Arabidopsis thaliana: one gene and its partner. The protein of the gene in region 1 interacts with the protein of each later gene in a pairwise test. Each region holds a gene or a part of one and is shown in the gene's direction. Other genes may lie near its edges.

Region 1 (12,496 bases):
TTATCAAATTTATACTAGGAATGTATACTAGGTGTTGCTATTGACTATTAATTAGAGTTGTTGAATGTGATGTTGTATTAGAAAATACTGTAGTTCCTAAACATTAACCATATCAAATTAATTTAACACATATATGTATGTAATGTTATGTCAAAGTCAAACTAAGAAATATATGTTTTGGGGAAATTATCTCTTTAGTCTAAACATTAATCTCTATTTTCGATTAGATCATCCCTATACTAAAATTAGCATTTCACATTTTTTACTTTTTTTACTTTTCTCAATTAAAAAGTTTTAATTAATTAATTAAAAAAAAGAAGAAGATTTGCCTTTTTCCTTTTTTAAACCGTACTTTTGATGTAATCCTTAATTATATAATCCAACGTTAAGTGTCGGAAACTAAACCCTAGAGAAATCTCTTCTTCTAGTTCTAGTCTCCTGCTTCTTCGAGATCGTGTGTCGTAACTCGTAAGCTAGGGAAGCCCTTTTTGTCTTCGAATTTCGGTAACTATACGATGATCTTCTTCTCTTATTGTCATTGAATGATTTTGTAGTTTCTGGGATGATTTCGAATTGGGTTCTTCGAATTTAATTTCGTACCTGTGTGATCAATTTTACCTGAATTTCATCAAATCCGATTTAAACCCTCAAATTAGCGAATTAACTTCTTATTGTTTTTGTTAAGACTGAGATTTTAAGACTTCTAAGTGTTTGGTTGGTTTGCTCTGTGTTGATATTGGCCACTTTACACAAGTTCTCACGTTGGTTCTGATGGGAATGAATTAGTTGTTGTTGATTTTGGTTTTGACAATTATTTGGATTTTGAGAAATTTAGCTTATTGCAGCTTTATGTCTTGTTCAATTTCAGTGTTGAGGCAAATCATAGATTTAAGTAATGTTATTAAGATTTCTGCACTCTAGGTTCTGTTTCTTCAAGTGGTAATAATAGCTTCTAGGTTAAATTCAATGATGTGATCTGTTTTACTGAACAAAAATCTTCTCTTTCTTTTGATAACAAAAGGCTAGATTCAAACCATGGTTGGAAGACGAGTATCACCTGCTCTAACTAAGGATGATGCGCATTCATACATCATTGCTGTGAAGGAAACATTTCATGATGAACCTACGAAATATCAAGAGTTTATCAAGCTCTTGAATGGTGTTTGTGATCATAGGTATGTATTCTTTTCTTCCCTGTTATATTTGGTTTGGTCTTTACTTTCAACTGTGAATTGATTCTGATGTTACTAGTCTCTTTTTGCAGAGTCGATAAATATAGTGTCATTGCAAGGGTGGAGGAACTGATGAAAGATCATCAGGATCTTCTTCTTGGTTTCAGTGTCTTCCTTCCACCTGTTTCTGTAGAGGATTTTATAAACAAGCTCAAGGTAAACACATGCTAAAATGACAAATAATCCTTGGAGAGAAACACCAAAATCCTTTTTTGATTCCTCTTTTACTAACTAGAGCAAATTTGTCCATCTGCAGACACGGTTTCAGAGCCTTGATACTCATGTAGTGGGGGCAATTCGCGGGTTAATGAAGATGTTTAAAGAGGGAAAGATGTCGGTAAAGGAGGTGCAAGAGGAGGTAATGTTTGTTCTTGGTGGGCTATTTTGTGTACTTGTGTTTTTTTTTTTTTTTTTTGGTTCTCTTTGTTTGATTTGGTTAGAAATAATATTATCTTGCAGGTCATTGATGTTCTCTTCTATCATGAAGATTTGATTGAAGACTTTCTCAGATTTTTCACAAAGAACCCTGTATCAACAGCATCACTACTACTACAATTATAACGAGTGATGTATTTTTTATGAATGAGAATGGAGTGTATAGTTTCTTTTGTAGAGGTTTTAAATCTTTGCTTTTCACCATGAAGAGGATGAGATTTGAATTTGATATACTCAGATGATTGAAACTCAAAGTGTCACAAAACTCAAAAATACTTCTCATAACCTTATTTTGTTTATGTTGAATTTTACTGATGAAAAACCTATGAAAGATCAAACATTTTTTTAAAACTCATTTCTTAGTTTTGTTATGTACTTAATTAATGGTTGTTAAAAAAAGGGTTTTGTGTAAAAAAACACTTCGAACTCATCCATTTTTACAATTTTATCCTTCACCTCCAACATATTGAGATTAATCCTATGAAGTCTAAAATAATACGCATTGTAACCCTTCTTTGTTTTTTTCTTTACTATTAATTTTGTAAAATATTGACATGTAATATATTAAATCTAAACCCTCACGATGAAGAGTTCAACTCTGCCTTCAAAATTTTAAAATTCTAATGTATATCATCGTAAAAACGTTTACAATATACGTATAAATGTCATATTGCGTATTATTTTAAACTTTATAAGATTAATCTGCATATATTGGAGGTGGAGGGTAAAGTTACAAAAATGGATGATTTAACCCTTTTAAAAAAAGTACATAATTAATTAAAATACACCAAATAATAAAAAAAAATCATTAAAATAAATAGAAAATCTTACATAACCTTGGAATCATAATACATAAACAAAACCCTACCGAGACTAGAAACTCGTCTCCCCTGCTTCGTGCTCGTGATCGTGAAGCCTTCTTCATTCGTCTTTGGTACCTATACACATGTGTTCTTCTTCTTTTTTGTGTGATCTTCGTTACGTCCACTACAAGTTTTATTTTCTTTGTTCATTGCCTTTGTAGTTGCTAGATCTGTTGCTTGTTGTAATTTGTATTCGTGGGATGATATCGAGTTCCTTGAATATATTTTTCGTAATATGTGATAAGATATCAAATCCGACTGATGAAGTTTAATCAACTTGAAGTCTCAAAACTAGATATGAGTTTTGTTTTGTCCCCAATAAAAAGTGTTAATCTAATCCCGTCAGACTTAATACTATGGCAATCTCTGAATTGGGGTATCTTTGGTTAAGAATGAGAGTAGGACATATCTAAATCCAATACTTGACTGGTTTGCCCTGTGTTTGAATTGACTACTTCACATGTGTAGGTTACGTGTGATAACTAATAATGGATCACCTTGAGGAATGAATTGTTTTGTTGTTAAGACTTTGGGGTTGTTCAAGGATCCAATATTTTTTGAAGAAACCTTGCACCATCTTTTGATTCTAATAATGTTTCACCTTTTTTTTTGGCTGCCTCTCTTTGAACAATAAAGCTTTCCTAAACTTCAAACCATGGTTGGAGAAGGAGGCGCACACAAGCCTACTACAAATGACGCGCTTAAATACCTTAGAGCCGTGAAGGCTAAATTTCAAGGTCAACGTGAAAAATATGACGAGTTTCTTCAGATCATGATAGATTATAAAACTCAGAGGTTAAAGTTCTTTCTACTTTTATGTTTGCATTTGGTCTTGGTTTAGGTAAAACTCCATGGTTTCTGAGAACTGATTACCGACTATTGTGTTGTATAGAATTGATATATCTGGTGTTATAATAAGGATGAAAGAACTCTTGAAAGAACAACAAGGATTACTTTTGGGTTTCAATGCCTTCTTACCAAATGGTTATATGATCACACATCATGAACAACCTTCACAGAAGAAACCTGTCGAGTTAGGGGAAGCAATTAGTTTTATTAACAAGATTAAGGTATATATGTTTATGTGTTATAAACTGTCCAAGGAAATTACTGCTTTTCCCTTTCCTACTCTCTTAGTTATTCATTCATTTGCAGACAAGGTTTCAGGGCGATGATCGTGTATACAAATCAGTTTTAGACATTTTAAACATGTACAGAAAGGATAGGAAGCCCATCACCGCGGTCTACCGGGAGGTAGGCTCATTGATTCATACTAAGTTTTTTTTTTTTTATTGCTAATATTTTACTTAGTTTCACACGTTTATCTTATCAGGTTGCCATCCTATTTCTAGATCATAACAATTTGCTTGTGGAGTTTACTCACTTTCTGCCTGCTACTCCAGCTACTCCAGCAACAGCCTTGTTGCATTCACAGTTTTGCATAGATCATCCTGATTTGCTTGAAGAGTTGGATTGCTTTCTGCCAACTATTTCTCAGAGTTTTTTGTGACGAAAGGATTGCTATGTTACTTCAATCGCTTCACATATAAGTAGTTTTTTTTTTTTAAAGTTACAAGTCAGAGATAATAGTAGAGGTTTTTTCTTTTTAATATGCATGATTAATAGCTTTCTTTTCCCTATAAATTATAGCCACTATCAAAATTCAAAATTACCATCATCTATAGTTATTCAATGCTTTTTTTTTTACCTAGTTATTTCAATGCTTACCTATGAGTTTACTATGTGTAACATGAGGATAAGGGTTATCGGAATTATTCTACGAACAAGGTGACAAAGTTTTCGGTCTACCGGAAAGATAGTAATGCCGATAAAAAAAAAATGAATTTAAAAGGCGAATAATATGTTCCGTTTTTATGGTTTTAATCAAGTTAGAGTTAAATTATTCTTCTATTAATGTTAGCCAAATATTATTTTTTAGATTTAAGCAAAATCTAACCGTGTAATGTAATATAGATTCCATTTACATCAATGATTTTAGAACATTTTTTCCCCATTAATAATTTTGATAGGTTTTGCATTAAGTAATTAACTTAGAAATTTTAAGAAAAAACATCTATGTTGACCAAAATAAAGAGAAAAAAAACATCTATTAATAATATGATTAATCATCTAAAACTTTTTAATTACAAAATTATTTCCAAAAAAAATGAATAATTTATTTTATATCAAAAATTTTCAAAATTAAGTATGTCTCTCTCACATACCAAAGGAGATAAAAACTTCCAAAAGAAAAAAAATGTTAAAAATAATAAAAGAAGAAGATAAATTATAAGTCTCCTAAAATGATACAACCAACAAAAGGAAGTAATAAAAACAAGAAAATACAACTTTGATTTTTATTTTATTTTTTGTCAACAGAAAAATGAAATAAGTAAGTAAACGAAAAATTTAGCGAACGAGAAAGTGTATTAAATATGTAGATTTTAATTTACTTAAGAAGACGTAAAACTCCTTTGAGAGAAATCTCAATCCTTTCTTCATAAAAACATAAAACTCTCGTTTGCTCAGTGAGTCTTTTCTTTCTGTCTGAAAATTGTTGAATAGTTTTTGTCTTCTCAGCTGTTTCGTCGGAGGAAGCTTCTTCTTCTAGACTTCTTCTTCTTCTTCTTCTTCGTCTTCTCTGAATTTCTTCGGTAAACTCTCTAACACATAAACGATGATGATCTTCTTTCGTTTTTTATCCTTTCTGTTTGATTTTTGGGTATTACAATTTTAATCGTGAACTGAATGTGAAATAATCTGAGGATTAAGTTAAGATCGATTTTTTCTGGTCCGTCTCCTTTTGTTTTTTCTTCATAAATTGTTTCTGTAGCTGCTAGATCTACAGGTGTTGCTTATTGGGATGAAATTCAAGTTCGGTTCTTTGAATTTTCCTTGTTTATGTGATTGATTTTGAGTTTTACTAGGTTTTGATTTGTAGATGAACATGAAGAAAGTTGTTTTCAGCTTTTGTTCTTTTGCTGAATCCCAAATTTTACTTGAATTCTCTAAAGAAACGTTCTTTGGTCTTATGAGATGTTGAATAGCTTTCTAAATGATCTGTTTTTTTTAATGGTAATGAAGCTCTGTTCAACTTCAAACACCATGGTTGGAGGAGGAAGTGCTCAGAAGCTAACTACAAACGACGCTCTTGCATATCTTAAAGCCGTGAAGGACAAATTTCAGGATCAACGTGGAAAATATGACGAGTTTCTCGAGGTTATGAAGAATTTTAAATCTCAAAGGTATAGTTTTTTTCTTCTCCTTGTTATGTTTAGGTTAAAAACTTGGTATCTGAGAACTGATTGCTTAATTGTGTTTTTCATTGTAGAGTTGATACAGCTGGTGTGATAACTAGGGTAAAAGAACTTTTCAAAGGACACCAAGAGTTGATTTTGGGGTTTAATACTTTCTTGCCTAAGGGTTTTGAGATCACACTTCAACCTGAGGATGGACAACCTCCACTGAAGAAACGTGTTGAGTTTGAGGAAGCTATTAGCTTTGTTAACAAGATTAAGGTATATATATGTTTATGTGCTAAACTGTCTCAAGGAAATTACTGCTTTTCCCTTTCTTACTCTCTTCGATATTCATTGATTTGCAGACAAGGTTTCAGGGAGATGATCGTGTATACAAATCATTTTTAGACATTTTAAACATGTACAGAAGGGATAGCAAGTCCATCACTGAGGTCTACCAGGAGGTAGGCTCATTGATGCTGTTATGTGTATCTTTTTTTTGTTGCTATTCTGTACTTAGGTTTTACATGTCTATCTCAGGTTGCGATCCTATTTCGGGATCATTCAGATCTGCTCGTGGAGTTTACTCACTTTCTACCTGATACTTCAGCAACGGCCTCTATTCCATCTGTTAAAACTTCAGTTCGTGAGAGAGGGGTTTCTCTGGCTGATAAGGTTCTTCTCAGACTTTTATTTTCCTAGAAATACAATGTTCTATATGTCTAATCTTTTATTGAACATCATTTGATTGGAAATTGTTGCAGAAGGACCGGATCATTACTCCACATCCTGACCATGACTATGGTACTGAACATATTGACCAGGACCGGGAGAGACCTATTAAGAAAGAAAATAAAGAACACATGAGAGGTACTAACAAAGAAAATGAGCATAGGGATGCCAGAGATTTCGAACCACATAGCAAAAAAGAGCAATTTCTCAACAAGAAGCAGAAACTACATATTAGAGGCGATGATCCTGCTGAAATTTCCAATCAAAGTAAACTTTCTGGAGCGGTTCCTAGTTCATCTACTTATGATGAAAAAGGTGCCATGAAAAGTGAGTTCTCGTTTTATGACAACTAATTTGAAAGATAAGGAGTGAGTTTGTCGTTCGCTATTCCATGTGTACTTATATTTGTTTGATGTGATGTCAGGTTACAGTCAAGATCTAGCTATTGTCGATAGAGTAAAGGAAAAGCTTAACGCCTCAGAGTACCAGGAGTTTTTACGTTGTCTTAATCTCTTTTCAAAAGAGATAATCAGCCGACCAGAACTGCAATCTTTGGTATGAATAAATAAAATGCTTAAATTTTCACTGTGGCATTTGTTTGCAATGATTCATGAACATTTGTGCTTGTATCAGGTAGGGAATTTAATCGGAGTATATCCTGACCTCATGGATTCCTTTATAGAGTTTTTGGTGCAATGTGAAAAGAATGGTAACGAGGCAAATCTATGTTTCTCTCTTCCTACATTCATTGATTTCAGAAAAAAGACAGATTTGTAACCTTTTGAATCTTCTTGCAGAAGGACTGCTCTCTGGTATTCTGACTAAGAGTAAGTCTACTTATCTTTTGCAAGGGTACATGAATCTGATGCTGAGATATATTTGAAGTATTCACGAGTAGTGAAACTACACAACTCCACTATGAAATTTGATCTTCTTTCCAGATATATCCATTTCTAGTTCTGAAAAGAAAACAAATCCATTCTAAACTATACTGCAGAATCCTTGTGGAGTGAAGGCAAATATCCTCAACCGTCACTGGACAATGATAGAGACCAGGAACATAAGAGAGATGACGGGCTTAGAGATAGAGATCATGAAAAGGAAAGGCTTGAAAAAGCAGCTGCAAATCTGAAATGGGCAAAGCCAATCAGTGAACTAGATCTCTCGAACTGTGAACAATGCACTCCTAGTTATCGGTTACTTCCAAAGAATGTATGTGGCTGCAGCCTTTTATATGTGGATCTACTATTCTTGAGTTCATCTTTTGTTTCATTAGTCTAATGTAAGACATTATACTTTTTGCAGTACCCAATTTCTATTGCAAGCCAGAAGACAGAGATCGGTAAACTGGTTCTTAATGATCACTGGGTCTCCGTCACATCAGGAAGTGAAGATTATTCATTTAGCCACATGCGTAAGAACCAGTATGAAGAGAGCCTCTTCAAATGTGAGGATGACAGGTTGGTTAATCAACTTCTAATGGTGGACTGGAAACCTATATTCCATACTTTAAAAAAAAAAATTGGTTACTGACCTGTTATTGTGAGCCATTTTCTGTGTCAAATTGTGAGCCATTATTCCTCTCTTTATGCTATAGGTTTGAGCTGGACATGCTATTAGAGTCTGTAAATTCAACGACAAAGCATGTGGAAGAATTATTGACAAAAATTAACAGTAATGAACTGAAAACCAACAGTCCCATCCGTGTCGAGGATCACCTCACAGGTAACATAAGCTGGTGTAAAACAATAAGCAGCATGGATGTTAAATCACTAGCAGCTGAGCTCTTTAAATTTTTTTTTTTTTTTAATGGATTGCTTTGTTACTGTCTTTGTAGCTCTAAACTTAAGATGCATAGAACGGTTGTATGGTGATCACGGGCTCGATGTGATGGATGTGCTGAAGAAGAACGTGTCTCTTGCTTTACCTGTTATCCTAACACGTTTGAAACAGAAGCAAGAAGAGTGGGCAAGGTGTCGTTCTGATTTTGACAAAGTCTGGGCTGAGATATATGCTAAGAATTACTACAAGTCGCTTGATCATCGAAGTTTCTACTTCAAACAGCAGGATTCAAAGAAGCTGAGCATGAAAGGTTTGTCCGTAACCTATTACACACATTATTCTATTATATCAAGCAAGTGACTTTATGTACTATATTTTTTCTGTAGCATTGTTGGCAGAGATAAAAGAGATTACTGAAAAGAAGCGAGAGGATGATTCACTTCTTGCATTTGCAGCCGGAAATAGACTATCCATTTCCCCAGATTTGGAGTTTGATTATCCGGATCATGACCTTCATGAAGATCTTTACCAGCTGATCAAATATTCGTGTGCAGAAATGTGCTCTACCGAACAGTTAGATAAGGTAATGAAGATTTGGACAACTTTCGTGGAACAAATATTTGGTGTTCCTTCTCGCCCTCAAGGTGCTGAAGACCAAGAAGACGTTGTCAAGTCCATGAACCAGAATGTAAAGAGCGGTAGTTCAAGTGCTGGCGAGAGTGAGGGAAGTCCTCACAATTACGCTAGTGTTGCCGACTCTAGACGCTCAAAGTCATCTCGAAAAGCTAATGAACATAGTCAGTTGGGGCAAACTAGTAATTCGGAGAGGGATGGCGCCGCTGGTAGGACATCAGATGCCTTATGTGAGACTGCTCAGCATGAGAAAATGCTGAAGAATGTAGTTACGTCTGATGAAAAGCCTGAAAGCAAGCAAGCTGTTTCTATTGAGCGTGCACACGATTCAACTGCTCTCGCTGTGGATGGATTATTAGATCAAAGTAATGGAGGAAGCAGTATAGTACACATGACCGGTAACACCTCAAAATCTTGCTTAGAAGTTAGTTCTCTTGGAATTTTTCATTTTCTTTGTACAGTTAATGAATAGTTTCCTCTTTACTTGGTCAGGACATTGCAATAATAATCTGAAGCCTGTGACCTGTGGAACAGAGTTGGAGTTGAAAATGAATGATGGTAATGGGCCAAAATTAGAGGTATAGTTTCAGTGAAGCACGTTTTAGTCCCATCATCTTATATTTTGATCTGATACTTTCTATATAGATGACTCATTTCAAATGAAGGACCGAATTTTGTTGATATGGAACAATATCTCCCATTGTTTGCACTTGGTGCTTAGGTCCTTCATATGGAACTTAGATAGTTTTAAAATTTGAAGTTACACACCCTTAGTTCTGTGTTAACCAAGAGGTGGTACTGATAAACTTTGTCTCACAGGTTGGTAACAAGAAGTTATTGACAAATGGGATCGCGGTAGAAATAACAAGTGACCAAGAGATGGCAGGAACATCCAAAGTTGAAAGAGAAGAAGGTGAACTTTCTCCAAATGGAGACTTTGAGGAAGATAATTTTGCAGTTTATGCAAAAACTGATTTTGAGACCTTCAGCAAAGCGAATGATAGTACTGGAAATAACATTAGCGGAGATAGAAGTAGAGAAGGGGAACCATCTTGTCTGGAGACAAGGGCTGAGAATGACGCTGAAGGTGACGAAAACGCCGCAAGATCATCAGAGGACAGCAGAAATGAATATGAGAACGGTGATGTTTCTGGAACGGAATCTGGTGGTGGTGAAGATCCGGAGGATGATTTGGATAACAATAACAAAGGAGAAAGCGAAGGTGAGGCTGAATGTATGGCTGATGCACATGATGCTGAAGAAAATGGGTCTGCCTTACCCGTTTCAGCACGATTCTTGCTGCATGTAAAGCCCTTAGTAAAGTATGTTCCTTCAGCTATAGCTTTGCATGACAAGGACAAAGACTCTCTGAAGAACTCCCAAGTTTTCTATGGAAATGATTCGTTTTACGTGCTTTTCAGGCTGCACCGGGTAAGAGCTAAAGATCATATACAGTTTGAAAAAATTATAAACAGTATAATCTAAAGTACAAAGAGTTTTCACTAGCTAACTTTACGCTATTACTCTTGACAGATATTGTATGAGAGAATACTATCAGCAAAAGTTAACTCATCATCCCCGGAAGGAAAGTGGAGGACCTCAAATACCAAAAATCCTACTGATTCCTATGCTAGGTGAAATTTGCTTTTTATTGCAGAGATTGTGTGTGTTTCTGGGATTCATATGTGCTCCATACTTATAACTTTAATTAATGTGGAACAGATTCATGACTGCACTCTACAACTTACTTGATGGTACATCTGATAATGCCAAGTTTGAAGATGACTGCCGAGCGATAATCGGGACTCAGTCTTATATTCTCTTCACATTGGACAAACTGATCCATAAATTCATCAAGCATGTGAGTATTTTTGCTCTTTGATGTTTTCTCTATGTATTCACCTCTCTATCTTTACTTGCTTTTTACTAACATACGTGTGGTCATTCTTCAGCTACAAGTAGTAGTAGCTGATGAGATGGACAACAAGCTTCTTCAGCTTTATTTTTATGAGAAATCCAGAAGGCCTGAAACGATTTTTGATGCTGTGTATTACGATAATACCCGTGTCCTCCTCCCTGATGAGAATATTTACCGTATTGAATGTGTAAGTTTTTGCTGCATCTTACATTAGCTACTTATATTCTGTCGATGCACTGCTGATCATGCTTTTGGACTCCAAAACCTCATGTGTATGCAGAGATTATCAACCCCAGCGAAACTCTCTATTCAGCTTATGTGCAACGGTCTTGATAAGCCCGATGTGACATCTGTATCCATTGACCCGACCTTTGCAGCTTATCTCCACAATGACTTCCTCTCCATACAACCAAATGCAAGGGAGGATCGCAGAATCTATTTAAATAGGTAAATGTAAAACATGAACAAATGACTGTCCCTTGATCTCTGAAACCTAGTGGGTCACTCATCAAAGCCAATGCCATTTTTCGTTTTCTCCAGGAACAAGCGCAAAGTTTGTCGTGAAGATGAACAGTTATACAGCACAGATGAAGTTAAGATCAAAAATGGTTTGGAGTGTAAGATAGCTTGCGGTTCTTCAAAGGTAACACTTTTATCTTCTTCCCTATATCACGCTTACCGCTTATGAGTATATCCATGAGAGACCAGCACTTGAAAGCACGTTCTTGAAAATCTCTTGCAGGTCTCCTATGTACTAGAAACAGAAGATTTGTTGGTGCGAGTTAAAAAGAGAAGAAAAACTTTGTGCCACAATCAGGATTCTTGGGTAAGGCAAATGAGGTTACAATATTACAAAAATAACTTCTTGTGACCAGCCTGTAACAATCTGGAAGAAGGATACCAAATCAACTCAACTTGTTCATTCACTCTCCAACTTAACAGAGACAAAACAAAAACAAAAGTGGCAATTCTCCATTGTTGACTTCACCGGATAGAGCCAAACTGCATTCTCTATCTTCATAAGAAGAAGAAGCAACAAAGGATTTGGCTTTTTGTTGTCTGTGACTGAAAAAGAAAACAATCACTCACAAAAATGATGTTACATATGTAAAGTTTGTCTTTATTCACTCTCTTGTTGTAAAGTTTTGTATGTTGTTGTAACATTTATCAAAAATTTCATTTTGTTATGGTATGTTATATAGAAATGAGTCAAATGACCATAAAAGGTTTGACCTTTTCCATAAACGACGCTTCGCCCTCTCCTAACTCTTTCCCTCACTTTAAAAAGATTCGATTTTTGACTGCAAAAAAGAGAATTTCTAAAAGCAAATCGGAGAGCTTCGGCGATGGCGTTATCACGACTTTCTTCACGATCCAACACTTTCCTAAAGCCGGCGATTACCGCCTTGCCCTCCTCCATCCGCCGTCATGTTTCCACAGACTCATCACCGATCACAATCGAAACCGCCGTCCCTTTCACATCGCATCTATGTGAATCACCGTCACGCTCCGTCGAGACTTCATCGGAGGAGATCTTAGCCTTTTTCCGTGACATGGCTCGGATGAGGAGGATGGAGATCGCAGCAGATTCTCTTTACAAGGCGAAGCTGATCCGTGGGTTCTGTCATTTGTACGATGGTCAAGAGGCTTTAGCGGTGGGAA
Region 2 (10,258 bases), on another chromosome or scaffold:
GGTAGGCCGTAACCTTTTATCAACACTGTACCCCATAAGAAATGGGTTCTTCACCAGAACTTTGCCAATCATCCCATCTTGATCAAGGCCAAGGCTAGCAAGAAAGCTGACGATCACTGTCAGCTTGGTGTCGATGCTGTAGCTGATAAGCCTTGGGTTAAAAAGTATCATTTTGCCAAGTTGAGTCTCAGGCACACCTAACGCTTGAAAGAAAGCAAGAAGGGGACAGAGTTTCTCCTCCACGCTATGAGAGAGTATTGGAGGAAATTTGGTAATGGCGGAAGCAACTTCCCGAGGATTCCTTCCAAGACTGGAGAGGCACTCGACCATCGGGATGAGTCTCTCATCGAGGCGTAAAGTCAGGATTTTGGGGCATCGAGAGACGATGTAAGGGAGTTTTCTCTCTTGGATACCAACAATGTTACTCAGGTAGTCCCAGTTTTCTGATGCCACATCGCTTTGAGCCTTTTCCAACTGTTTGCATTTTCTCAACATCTTGTCGATACTCGGATCATCGAAACCTTTGTCCCTGAAGAACCACATGATGCTGCTCGTATTTGTCACCTCCATATAAACGCCACTACAACACACCAATTTTGCTTAACTTAGAGATGATTCGAGCTTTAACAAGGAAGTAGAGAGGAATTTACCTTGGAGGAGAGCCTTTCCGGCTATCCAATTGAACTGAAAGTGAGAAGCTTATCCACACGGAGGAGTGAGGACCTTCTTTCTTTCTTATACCCCCTGTAGAGTAAATGACTGTTATATCCCTCAATCCTTCTCGCGTGACTAAACCCTCCCCTTCTTCTCTCTCCGTCAAAATCTGCAAAACCCTAACTTTTCGAATCAGCGGCAGATAACGATGGTGCCTTCCTCCAAAGCCGTCGTTTTTGCAAGGCAGATGGCGAAGCAGATTCGTGTTACGACGCCGTCGATGTCCGCAACACGCTTTCTCTCAACGGGCGACAATGGTCAAGTAGACGAGCAGCAGAACCCTCCAGAGCCCTTACCCAACAGACCCTTGCGAGGGGAGAGATCTTCCAACTCTCACAGAGAACCACCCGCTAGACAAGCCCACAACCTTGGAAAGAGTGATACTACTCTGTCTGACGATGGCTTCCTCGAACAGTTCAAGCTTGGAGTCAATCAGGATTCACGGGAAACCCCCAAACCGGAACAATACCCGCAGGAGCCCTTACCGCCGCCTGAGGATTCCGATGAGATCTTCAAGAAGATGAAGGAAGGAGGTCTCATCCCTAACGCCGTCGCCATGCTTGACGGCCTCTGCAAAGATGGGCTTGTACAAGAGGCCATGAAGCTTTTCGGATTGATGCGTGACAAGGGTACAATCCCTGAGGTCGTTATCTACACTGCTGTCGTTGAGGCCTTTTGCAAGGCTCATAAAATTGAAGACGCTAAGAGGATTTTCAGGAAAATGCAGAACAATGGGATTGCCCCTAATGCCTTCAGCTACGGTGTGTTGGTTCAGGGATTGTATAATTGCAACATGCTTGACGATGCTGTTGCTTTCTGTAGTGAGATGCTTGAGTCTGGTCACTCTCCTAACGTCCCCACTTTCGTTGAATTGGTTGATGCCTTGTGCAGAGTAAAGGGGGTTGAACAAGCCCAGTCCGCTATTGATACCTTAAACCAAAAAGGATTTGCCGTTAATGTTAAGGCTGTCAAGGAGTTCATGGATAAAAGGGCTCCATTTCCGTCTTTGGCTTGGGAAGCCATCTTCAAGAAGAAACCAACCGAGAAACCCTTCTGATTTACTTACGCAGTGCTGTTAAGTATGCCGTCTCAGTAAGATGTTTTCTTGACTTGTAATAACAACCTTGAAAGTGAAAATCAATATGAGTCTTCCTTTTTCTGCTTGGAGTCAGGTATCGAGTTTTTTTTTTTTTCCTATGTCCTTTAAAAATGTGTAGTTGTAGATGTAGTTCCCTGTTTTCATGCATTCTAATATTGATTGCAAGTTCAATGAATAGCGTTGTGTTGGCGGTATAGGGTGTCAAATTATGCTTGACGCTTATCAGTCATTACCAATGATGTATGTGACTGTCTATTGCAAATGTGGCCGACTTCATGAACAAATATGAACAATAGTATCATTGGTTACATACACCAGGCATAAAACTACATCATCCTCCAAAGGCACTGCTGATCTCAGGGACGTGGAGGTCTGTTCTGTAGAAGCTGGCGCTATATTGAATACAAAATGCGTGGAGTCAACATTAAAATAGTTTTTATGATTCACTCGGAGATCTTTACTTGATTTGGTCGGCTGTATTATATTCGTGAACTCGGAAGTCAAGGCCTGTCTTGATGGAAGAATGACTCCTTACTTTTAATATATATATAAATAATACACTGGATATGAATGCCATCTTTTGTTTGTTTACTTTTGGCGTCATGTGATTCTTGTATTGTTTACTATTGTTAAATGCAAGTATCAGGTAGTGCTTAAGATGGAAGCATGTGCATCTCGTATGTTGACCATAACCTCTCCAAGAGTTTTCTTGGAGTTGGGAGAATCGCTGACTTGATTAAAGAAAAACAACAAAAGAATATAATAAGAGATGGGAGGTGGGGTCGGCGCCGTCCCTACTCGATGATATTAGTCTATAAAAGAGAGGGAAGGAATGAGGTAAAGAAGCAGAAAGCTGGAGAAAGATGATTTCAATGTTGTTTCCGCGGTCGCCTTTGTGCACAGCAGCCATAGTATTCTACACATGTGTGTGCATTCCCTTGGGGAGGTTGAAGAAGAATGGTGGAGATGCGGATGCGCATGATGATGACGGTTACAACCTAGTGGGAGTGATGTTTGGGGACAAGGAAAAGGAGGAGGAAATTTGCTGCCCCATATGCCTGGTGGAGTTTGAGGCTGAGGATGCGGTGACCCATCTTCCCAGATGCGCTCATCTCTTCCATATCAATTGCATAGAACCTTGGCTTCTCCGTGGCCACCTCACTTGCCCTCTCTGCAGATCATTTGTATTGGCTCCAACTCCTCCTACACAAAATGTCAATAATGCACACTCCTCTTCCACCTTGTATCTCTCTATCTTCTTCTTTTTCTGTATCTTTCTCCATCTACTTGGATACTTGTAGCCTAGCTTCCTTGTTAACACACCCATTCTTTATTTAACATGTATTTTGTCTTAGTTTCCAAGCACATATTGTCTCCATCTCCTTTTCAATCAAGATTTTGTGGATTACTCAGTTTTATGATATACTGTACTAAACAGAGACAAAAGCAGCACGAGTTTAGTTTTACCAGCCTTGCCTAGTGCCTACTGCTGCTCTAGTGCTCTGTTTCCTAATTGATTTGTTACTCTGCGTAAGACCATTAAGTAAACGGGCTAAAGGCAACTTAATAGGCCTTATTTTTAAAACACATTAAAAGTGGGCCTCATTTTAAACCATAACAGATTAAAAGTGGGCCTTTCCATTATAAACTGAAAGTAGAAAAAGTTGGAAGAGAAGAGTAAGTAGGCTACAGTTTCAGTCAGAGGTGAAAGAAAATCTGAAAGCAAAGCAGAGAGCAGCTCCCTTCCCCTCGGCGAGGAGGAAGGAAGAAGAAAGCCAGAGAGAGAGAGAGAGATCATCGCAGCTTCTCCTCCGACCATTTGACTGCGACTGTGATTACAACACACCGTTGATCCTACGAAAAAGGTCAGTCAGACTCTCTTCCTTGTCTGCGTGATTCCATTTTCCGGCGTCTGTCTAGCCTCGCCGTCTTTTAATATCTTTCACTCGCCTTCCTGTCTCTTCTGCACACTAGATTTGATTTTTTCGTAACTTAAAAAAATGTTGTTGTTGTCATTCAAACGCGTCCATGGCTCAGCTACTCCGCGGCTAGGGTTTAGTTATCATTTTTTAATAATATAATTTTTATGGATCGGCGTGCGTGCAGAGGTAATGGATACTGGCGGCAATTCGCTGGCGTCCGGACCTGATGGTGTGAAGAGGAAAGTTTGTTATTTCTATGACCCTGAGGTCGGCAATTACTACTATGGCCAAGGTCATCCCATGAAGCCCCATCGCATCCGCATGACCCATGCCCTCCTCGCTCACTACGGTCTCCTTCAGCATATGCAGGTTCTCAAGCCCTTCCCTGCCCGCGACCGTGATCTCTGCCGCTTCCACGCCGACGACTATGTCTCTTTTCTCCGCAGCATTACCCCTGAAACCCAGCAAGATCAGATTCGCCAACTTAAGCGCTTCAATGTTGGTGAAGACTGTCCCGTCTTTGACGGCCTTTATTCCTTTTGCCAGACCTATGCTGGAGGATCTGTTGGTGGCTCTGTCAAGCTTAACCACGGCCTCTGCGATATTGCCATCAACTGGGCTGGTGGTCTCCATCACGCTAAGAAGTGCGAGGCCTCTGGCTTCTGTTACGTCAATGATATCGTCTTAGCTATCCTAGAGCTCCTTAAGCAGCATGAGGTTTGTCCACCTGCACCGTTTTGATATATGCTAGGGATGGTTATGTCGTTTCTGAATCTCTAACTCTTCCTCTCTCGTTTGCAGCGTGTTCTTTATGTCGATATTGATATCCACCACGGGGATGGAGTGGAGGAGGCATTTTATGCTACTGACAGGGTTATGACTGTCTCGTTTCATAAATTTGGTGATTACTTTCCCGGTACAGGTCACATTCAGGATATAGGTTATGGTAGCGGAAAGTACTATTCTCTCAATGTACCACTGGATGATGGAATCGATGATGAGAGCTATCATCTGTTATTCAAGCCCATCATGGGGAAAGTTATGGAAATTTTCCGACCAGGGGCTGTGGTATTGCAATGTGGTGCTGATTCATTGTCTGGTGATAGGTTGGGGTGCTTTAATCTTTCAATCAAAGGTCATGCTGAGTGCGTCAAATTTATGAGATCGTTCAATGTTCCCCTACTGCTCTTGGGTGGTGGTGGTTACACTATCCGCAATGTTGCCCGTTGCTGGTGCTACGAGGTACTTTCTTCTGTTCATTTTATGCTGCTCTAGCTTTGCATTGAAATTTCCTTGGTCTCTGTACCAAGGTTAGCCCTCTGTGACGCCTCTCTTTCTTTGAATTTATTACAACAAACTGTTTATATGACAGACTGGAGTTGCACTTGGAGTTGAAGTTGAAGACAAGATGCCGGAGCATGAATATTATGAATACTTTGGTCCAGACTATACACTTCACGTTGCTCCAAGTAACATGGAAAATAAGAATTCTCGTCAGATGCTTGAAGAGATTCGCAATGACCTTCTCCACAATCTCTCTAAGCTTCAGCATGCTCCAAGTGTACCATTTCAGGAAAGACCACCTGATACAGAGACTCCCGAGGTATGCCACTTGAGCAAATCATTTGAAGTGTGTTGGCTCCTTTATTTCTGTTGCCCATTCTTTCTTGCATTTCCTCATGGGTTTTGGTGAGCTTATCTAAGTGTAACTGCAGTTACAATAAGAATTTTCTAATTTAAACAGCTGGGCTGGTAAATAATGTTCGTCCAGTTAGATATGTATAAGTATTCCTTGATTGATGACTCTGGTTGTTACCAATCTTAGTTTTGTAAAATATGCCTTCTATGTAAATTATAGGTTGATGAAGACCAAGAAGATGGGGATAAAAGATGGGATCCGGATTCAGACATGGATGTTGATGATGACCGGTATGAAATATATATGTTTCCTCCCCTTTTTATTTTTGGTTCGAGTCAGCGGTGTAATGTTTACTTAATGTGGGATCGCATTGTGCAGTAAACCTATACCAAGCAGAGTAAAAAGAGAAGCTGTTGAACCAGATACAAAGGACAAGGTACTACAGCATTATCTCTTAATTGTTTCGATTTCTCAGACACTTTTTCTGGTACAAACATTTGAAGTCATTAGTTCATCTAGGTTTACAGCATTTTCCAGAACAGCACAATGTGCTCTGATAACATTACACTTTTTCTCATCCCGAGACCCAAAACCTAAAGATTCCAGAATGAGTCTCATTCTGACATTAAGTCAGTTAGTTTAAGCTGGAGATACATTCACATGAGGGTAGCGAATCTTTAGCTACGGTTAAATCATTTAGCCTAGGCTATTTATTTAGTATGCTCCCAGCTCCAACAATTGACCTGATTAGATAGTGTGACCGTCTAGCCAAGCTGAGCTGAATCATCTCTGCCTCTCAATTCCTAAAGCCGTCTCCTTTTCTTCCGAGATTAATTTATTTATCATGGCATGTTGTTCGTGCAGGATGGACTGAAAGGAATTATGGAGCGTGGAAAAGGTTGTGAGGTGGAGGTGGATGAGAGTGGAAGCACTAAGGTAAAATGAAGCAGTGGACAGGGCTGAAAAGGGTGGGAATGGTGGTTTTCTAAAGTGGTTAGTTTTGATTGCAGGTTACAGGAGTAAACCCAGTGGGAGTGGAGGAAGCAAGTGTGAAAATGGAAGAGGAAGGAACAAACAAGGGTGGGGCGGAGCAGGCGTTTCCTCCTAAAACATAAGACTCGGAGCTTCTAATTTCTTGCTACTTTTTCTGTCTATCAAATGTTGCTAGTTAAGTTTCTGGAGTTGTTGTTGTTGTAAGCACTCCTCTGTTTTAGAGGATTGAGCACGGATATGTATTTATTCGTTGCATGTCTGAATGATGATATGATATGACAAGACGAGCTATTCCTTTTGCTATATATTTATTGATTGGGCCGAAGAGATCTGCGTCTGCCCACCCCAAAAAAATAAAGAATTGATGTGCTAAACGCAGCAATGAACATCATCAACTAGTGAAGTGGGTGGAGAAGATGTTTTCCTGTAACACAATTGATTTCTAACTCTAAATTAAAAAAATGTAAATCCCTTTAAGACTATTAAGCGTCTCTCTGTCTGTCTCTCGTCGTTCTCGTTTTTGATTGCTTAGTTTTTTCCCGGGAGACTGAAACATGTTCACGGCGGCAGCTTCGTCAAGCGTGGGAAGGTGGCGGACGGCGTTTCTCTCTCTCAGGGACGAAATCTCAACCACTCCACCGCCGCCGGTTCCTCTGTTGCTCGAGGATCTACTCTTCTCTCAATCCCATTCCCTTATCTCTGCCGTCTCTCACCTCCCACTGCACGAGCTCACTTCCGATTGCTTGTTCCTGCTCGATTTGGTTTCCAAAGCTGATGGTCCTGACTGGATCCCTGTCTCTCGTCATACTTGTCAACTGGTGCGTCTTCTCCTTCTCTCCTCCCATCATTTCCTTGTTATTAATGGGATCTCTCCTCCTTTTTATTAATCCAGATTCACGATGTTTGTGCTCGTCTACTTTTCCAACTAAATTCTTCGTCATGGCCGCTCCTTCTTCACTCTTTTGCTTCTGTCTTGGAGTTTCTTCTTCGCCAACCCATGCCTTCTTCACCTTATTCCGCTGCCTATTTCTCCAGAATCGAACCTGTGATCCAATGCTTCGAGACTTTAAGGTTATTATATATCTTCTCACAATCTTGCTGACATTGTTTAAACCTTATTCGTAATCTCCTCTTCCTTTTCCCAGACGTTTGGCCCCTATGCATCCGGAGAACATTCATCTAGTCAAGTTTCTTGTGCGCGTAGTTCCTTTATTACACCAGGATTTAGTTTTATCCTATGGTTTCTCAAATCAAGACCCTTCTCCTACTTTACTTGTGGAAAAGAAACTGCCTCAACAGAATCGCTTATGGGATTCCATGGCTCTTGCCTTTGACATGTTTGGTAGAGCATTTTCTCTATCTGAGTCTTTGTTTCCTACTGACGTCTCCCAATGCACGCTAGAGGTAATCTTCCCCTTCACTGATCGATCCTCTCATTTCTCTCATATGCTTTGTTTCTCAACTTGGTGAATTCTCATATAGGTTCTAAGGAAAGTAATGGACGTATTAGCATCTAAGGGCCAGCTTGTCGAAGACCGATTCATGTGGAGGTATATGCCTTTGGTTTTGTGGAGACTACAATTTACTCCTTTTTTTCTGGGTTCTATTAGACTTGTTGCCCTCTTAGGTAATATTCATTTCTTAATTTTCTACAGCTTTTATTCATGCCTTCTAGGCTGTGTGCACGAGGTCCTTACAAATATCAAATGTCCTGTTTCTGATCACGTAAGTGGGTTCTTGATACCCTTTGCTCCTCCTCTTAGCCTTGGATAAGTGATTTTCTGGTTTAACCTCCATATCAGACTTTTTTCCTTTGTTTAAGCAGATTTTTTAAATGTTGCAGGTCTTAAGTTTCATAGCGTCATTGAGAATGTTTTTCTGTTTTGGACTTACTGGCCCACCTCAGTTATCAGTTTCTGATGTTGTTCACAACGATAAGCATTTGAATGTCAAGCTTTCTCCATTGATTTCTGGAGTAAGTAAGAATGCCAAGAATACTCCTTATAGGCCACCCCACTTGCGCAAGAGGGATGATTTGAACACTAGGCAGCCAGTGTCTTCAAGCTGGCGGCGCCTATCTGCTCATGATTCTGGTAGTTCTGATGTTATATCATCAGATTCCGATTTTAGTGACAGTGACGGCTCCGTACCGGATTCTTATTTTGCCCAAAGCTCCAAGGTTAGAATAGCTGCAATTGTTTGCATACAGGTGAGTAACAATGTATTATTCTTAGTTGGTTCTCATCTTCTACTTAACTTTTCAGTGACAATTACTTATTCATTTTCTTTTTTTCCTGTTAAGGATCTTTGCCAGGCTGATTCAAAGTCATTTACCACTCAGTGGGTGACTCTCTTTCCAACAAGTGATGTACTCAAGCCAAGGTGGAAAATTAACCTACAACATCTTTTGTCACCATACCGTAGTATTTTCTTGTCTCCTTAACTTTCCGAGATCATTAACAGGAAGTTTGAAGCTACTCTAATGACCTGCTTGCTTTTTGATCCTCATTTGAAGGTGGTTATTCTTGTCCCTTTTCAAGTAATTGAGGCACATATTTCGATGCTGTTCTTCATTTTTCACCTTCCCAATAACTTTTATGGTTAAGCAAGTATGTCTAGAGATGTTTTTGTGGCTCAACTTCATGACTGCTGAATCCTGACAATACTTTTTTGTTTACCTTGCAATGTCTAGGTAAGGATTGCATCTGCGTCAGCTCTTGCCACCATGATGGATGGGCCTTCATCTATTTTCCTTCAAGTGGCAGAGTACAAGGAATCTACTAAATATGGATCATTTATGCCCCTCTCCAATTCCCTTGGTCTAATATTAATGCAACTCCACACAGGTTTTCAACGACATTAATTGTCTTAACCTTTTTCTTCTTGTCTGGCTATTAGTTATTCCTTGTTAACCAAGATTTTTATGCCTTTCGTATGGGTGTAGGCATTCTACATTTGATTCACAGTGATAATCATGGTAGATTGTTGATTCAGCTGTTCAAGATCCTCTTGCTTCTAATATCAAGCACACCGTACGTACATTTCTTCTGTGTTTTATTTTATTAGCTCCTCATGATTAAAATGATATTCGTTTTATTGTAAAAGTATTGTATCTTTTTAAAGGTATTTGATATCCGTTATTATAAACCCATAATGGCTCTTGATTAAGATTTACATTTGAGTAAGTGAATTAGGAAAGCTTCATGAATACATGCGTAGACCCAGCTCCGTTTAGCTAATGTTATCTTCTTATTAAAATTTGCAACTACTTTTGGATTTTGTATGAGATTTTCATGTGTTCTTTAACGTTTGTTATCATTTTCAGTTACTCGAGAATGCCGGGAGAATTGCTGCCAAAAGTTATAATGTCTCTGCATGCTAGGATTAATGAGGGCTTTCCTTTCAAAAATGATAAAACTGGTCTGCTGGTTAGTGCTTCCTTTTCCTTATGTTGTTTTGTCTGTTAGCTGTCTTCGTTTATGATGGATATATGATTTTACATTTCATATCTAGGTTTTCATTCTTGGACTATCCTAGTTTCCATTAGCTAAAGTCATAGGATTTAAACTAATTTTAGTCGCATATAGAAATTTGTCGACTGAGGGATGCAATAGGAGGAGAATTTTTTTGGGATTTCTCTGGACGGTACAGGCATTAGACAAGGGCCTAGAGTCGTGTTTGGGAGATTTTTTGTCTCTGTTTATGTTTTGCAGTCCTTATCCAATCTATAAAATATGTTCTAGACTTCTAGTGCCTTTCTTTTCGCTGAATTCCTAATCCAAACAATCTTAAGTTTTCATTCACGGAGGAAAAGAAGAGGTATGGTAAGAACCAAGTAAAGATCTTTCTTCATTGATTAAACCAAAGACAGTATTGAGACTATTTCTAATA

The links.
Region 2: the proteins of SNL3 (region 1) and HD1 interact in a two-hybrid assay, tested with the Arabidopsis thaliana proteins (one study listed by BioGRID).

Annotation. Positions count from the first base shown.
Region 1 is NC_003070.9:8,563,067-8,575,562, reverse strand, and holds SNL3 (SIN3-like 3), read left to right. Parts: upstream 1-5,026; 5' UTR 5,027-5,184; intron 5,185-5,614; 5' UTR 5,615-5,635; coding exon 5,636-5,775; intron 5,776-5,861; coding exon 5,862-6,048; intron 6,049-6,134; coding exon 6,135-6,233; intron 6,234-6,309; coding exon 6,310-6,444; intron 6,445-6,533; coding exon 6,534-6,828; intron 6,829-6,925; coding exon 6,926-7,056; intron 7,057-7,134; coding exon 7,135-7,210; intron 7,211-7,298; coding exon 7,299-7,328; coding exon of another isoform or gene 7,329-7,353; intron 7,354-7,498; coding exon 7,499-7,713; intron 7,714-7,806; coding exon 7,807-7,961; intron 7,962-8,098; coding exon 8,099-8,226; intron 8,227-8,338; coding exon 8,339-8,593; intron 8,594-8,669; coding exon 8,670-9,314; intron 9,315-9,408; coding exon 9,409-9,494; intron 9,495-9,735; coding exon 9,736-10,347; intron 10,348-10,449; coding exon 10,450-10,550; intron 10,551-10,638; coding exon 10,639-10,777; intron 10,778-10,868; coding exon 10,869-11,021; and 11 more. Other genes in the region: AT1G24210 (Paired amphipathic helix (PAH2) superfamily protein), read left to right, coding at 1,036-1,175, 1,265-1,388, 1,489-1,590, 1,692-1,793; AT1G24200 (Paired amphipathic helix (PAH2) superfamily protein), read left to right, coding at 3,186-3,325, 3,423-3,600, 3,686-3,784, 3,864-3,932, 4,286-4,390; IAR4 (thiamine diphosphate-binding fold (THDP-binding) superfamily protein), read left to right, coding at 12,181-12,496. UniProt on the Arabidopsis thaliana protein: Acts as a transcriptional repressor. Interacts with ERF7 to repress genes in abscisic acid and drought stress responses. The heterodimer represses transcription by tethering SNL3 to DNA.
Region 2 is NC_003075.7:17,892,724-17,902,981, reverse strand, and holds HD1 (histone deacetylase 1), read left to right. Parts: upstream 1-3,472; 5' UTR 3,473-3,678; intron 3,679-3,919; 5' UTR 3,920-3,924; coding exon 3,925-4,452; intron 4,453-4,536; coding exon 4,537-4,977; intron 4,978-5,107; coding exon 5,108-5,338; intron 5,339-5,593; coding exon 5,594-5,664; intron 5,665-5,752; coding exon 5,753-5,810; intron 5,811-6,238; coding exon 6,239-6,310; coding exon of another isoform or gene 6,311-6,319; exon of another isoform or gene 6,320-6,384; coding exon 6,385-6,489; 3' UTR 6,490-6,704; downstream 6,705-10,258. Other genes in the region: pde191 (Mitochondrial transcription termination factor family protein), read right to left, coding at 1-570; AT4G38150 (Pentatricopeptide repeat (PPR) superfamily protein), read left to right, coding at 863-1,771; AT4G38140 (RING/U-box superfamily protein), read left to right, coding at 2,677-3,114; AT4G38120 (ARM repeat superfamily protein), read left to right, coding at 6,922-7,185, 7,260-7,438, 7,513-7,771, 7,850-7,917, 8,023-8,092, 8,211-8,576, 8,670-8,749, 8,831-8,882 and 3 more. UniProt on the Arabidopsis thaliana protein: Responsible for the deacetylation of lysine residues on the N-terminal part of the core histones (H2A, H2B, H3 and H4).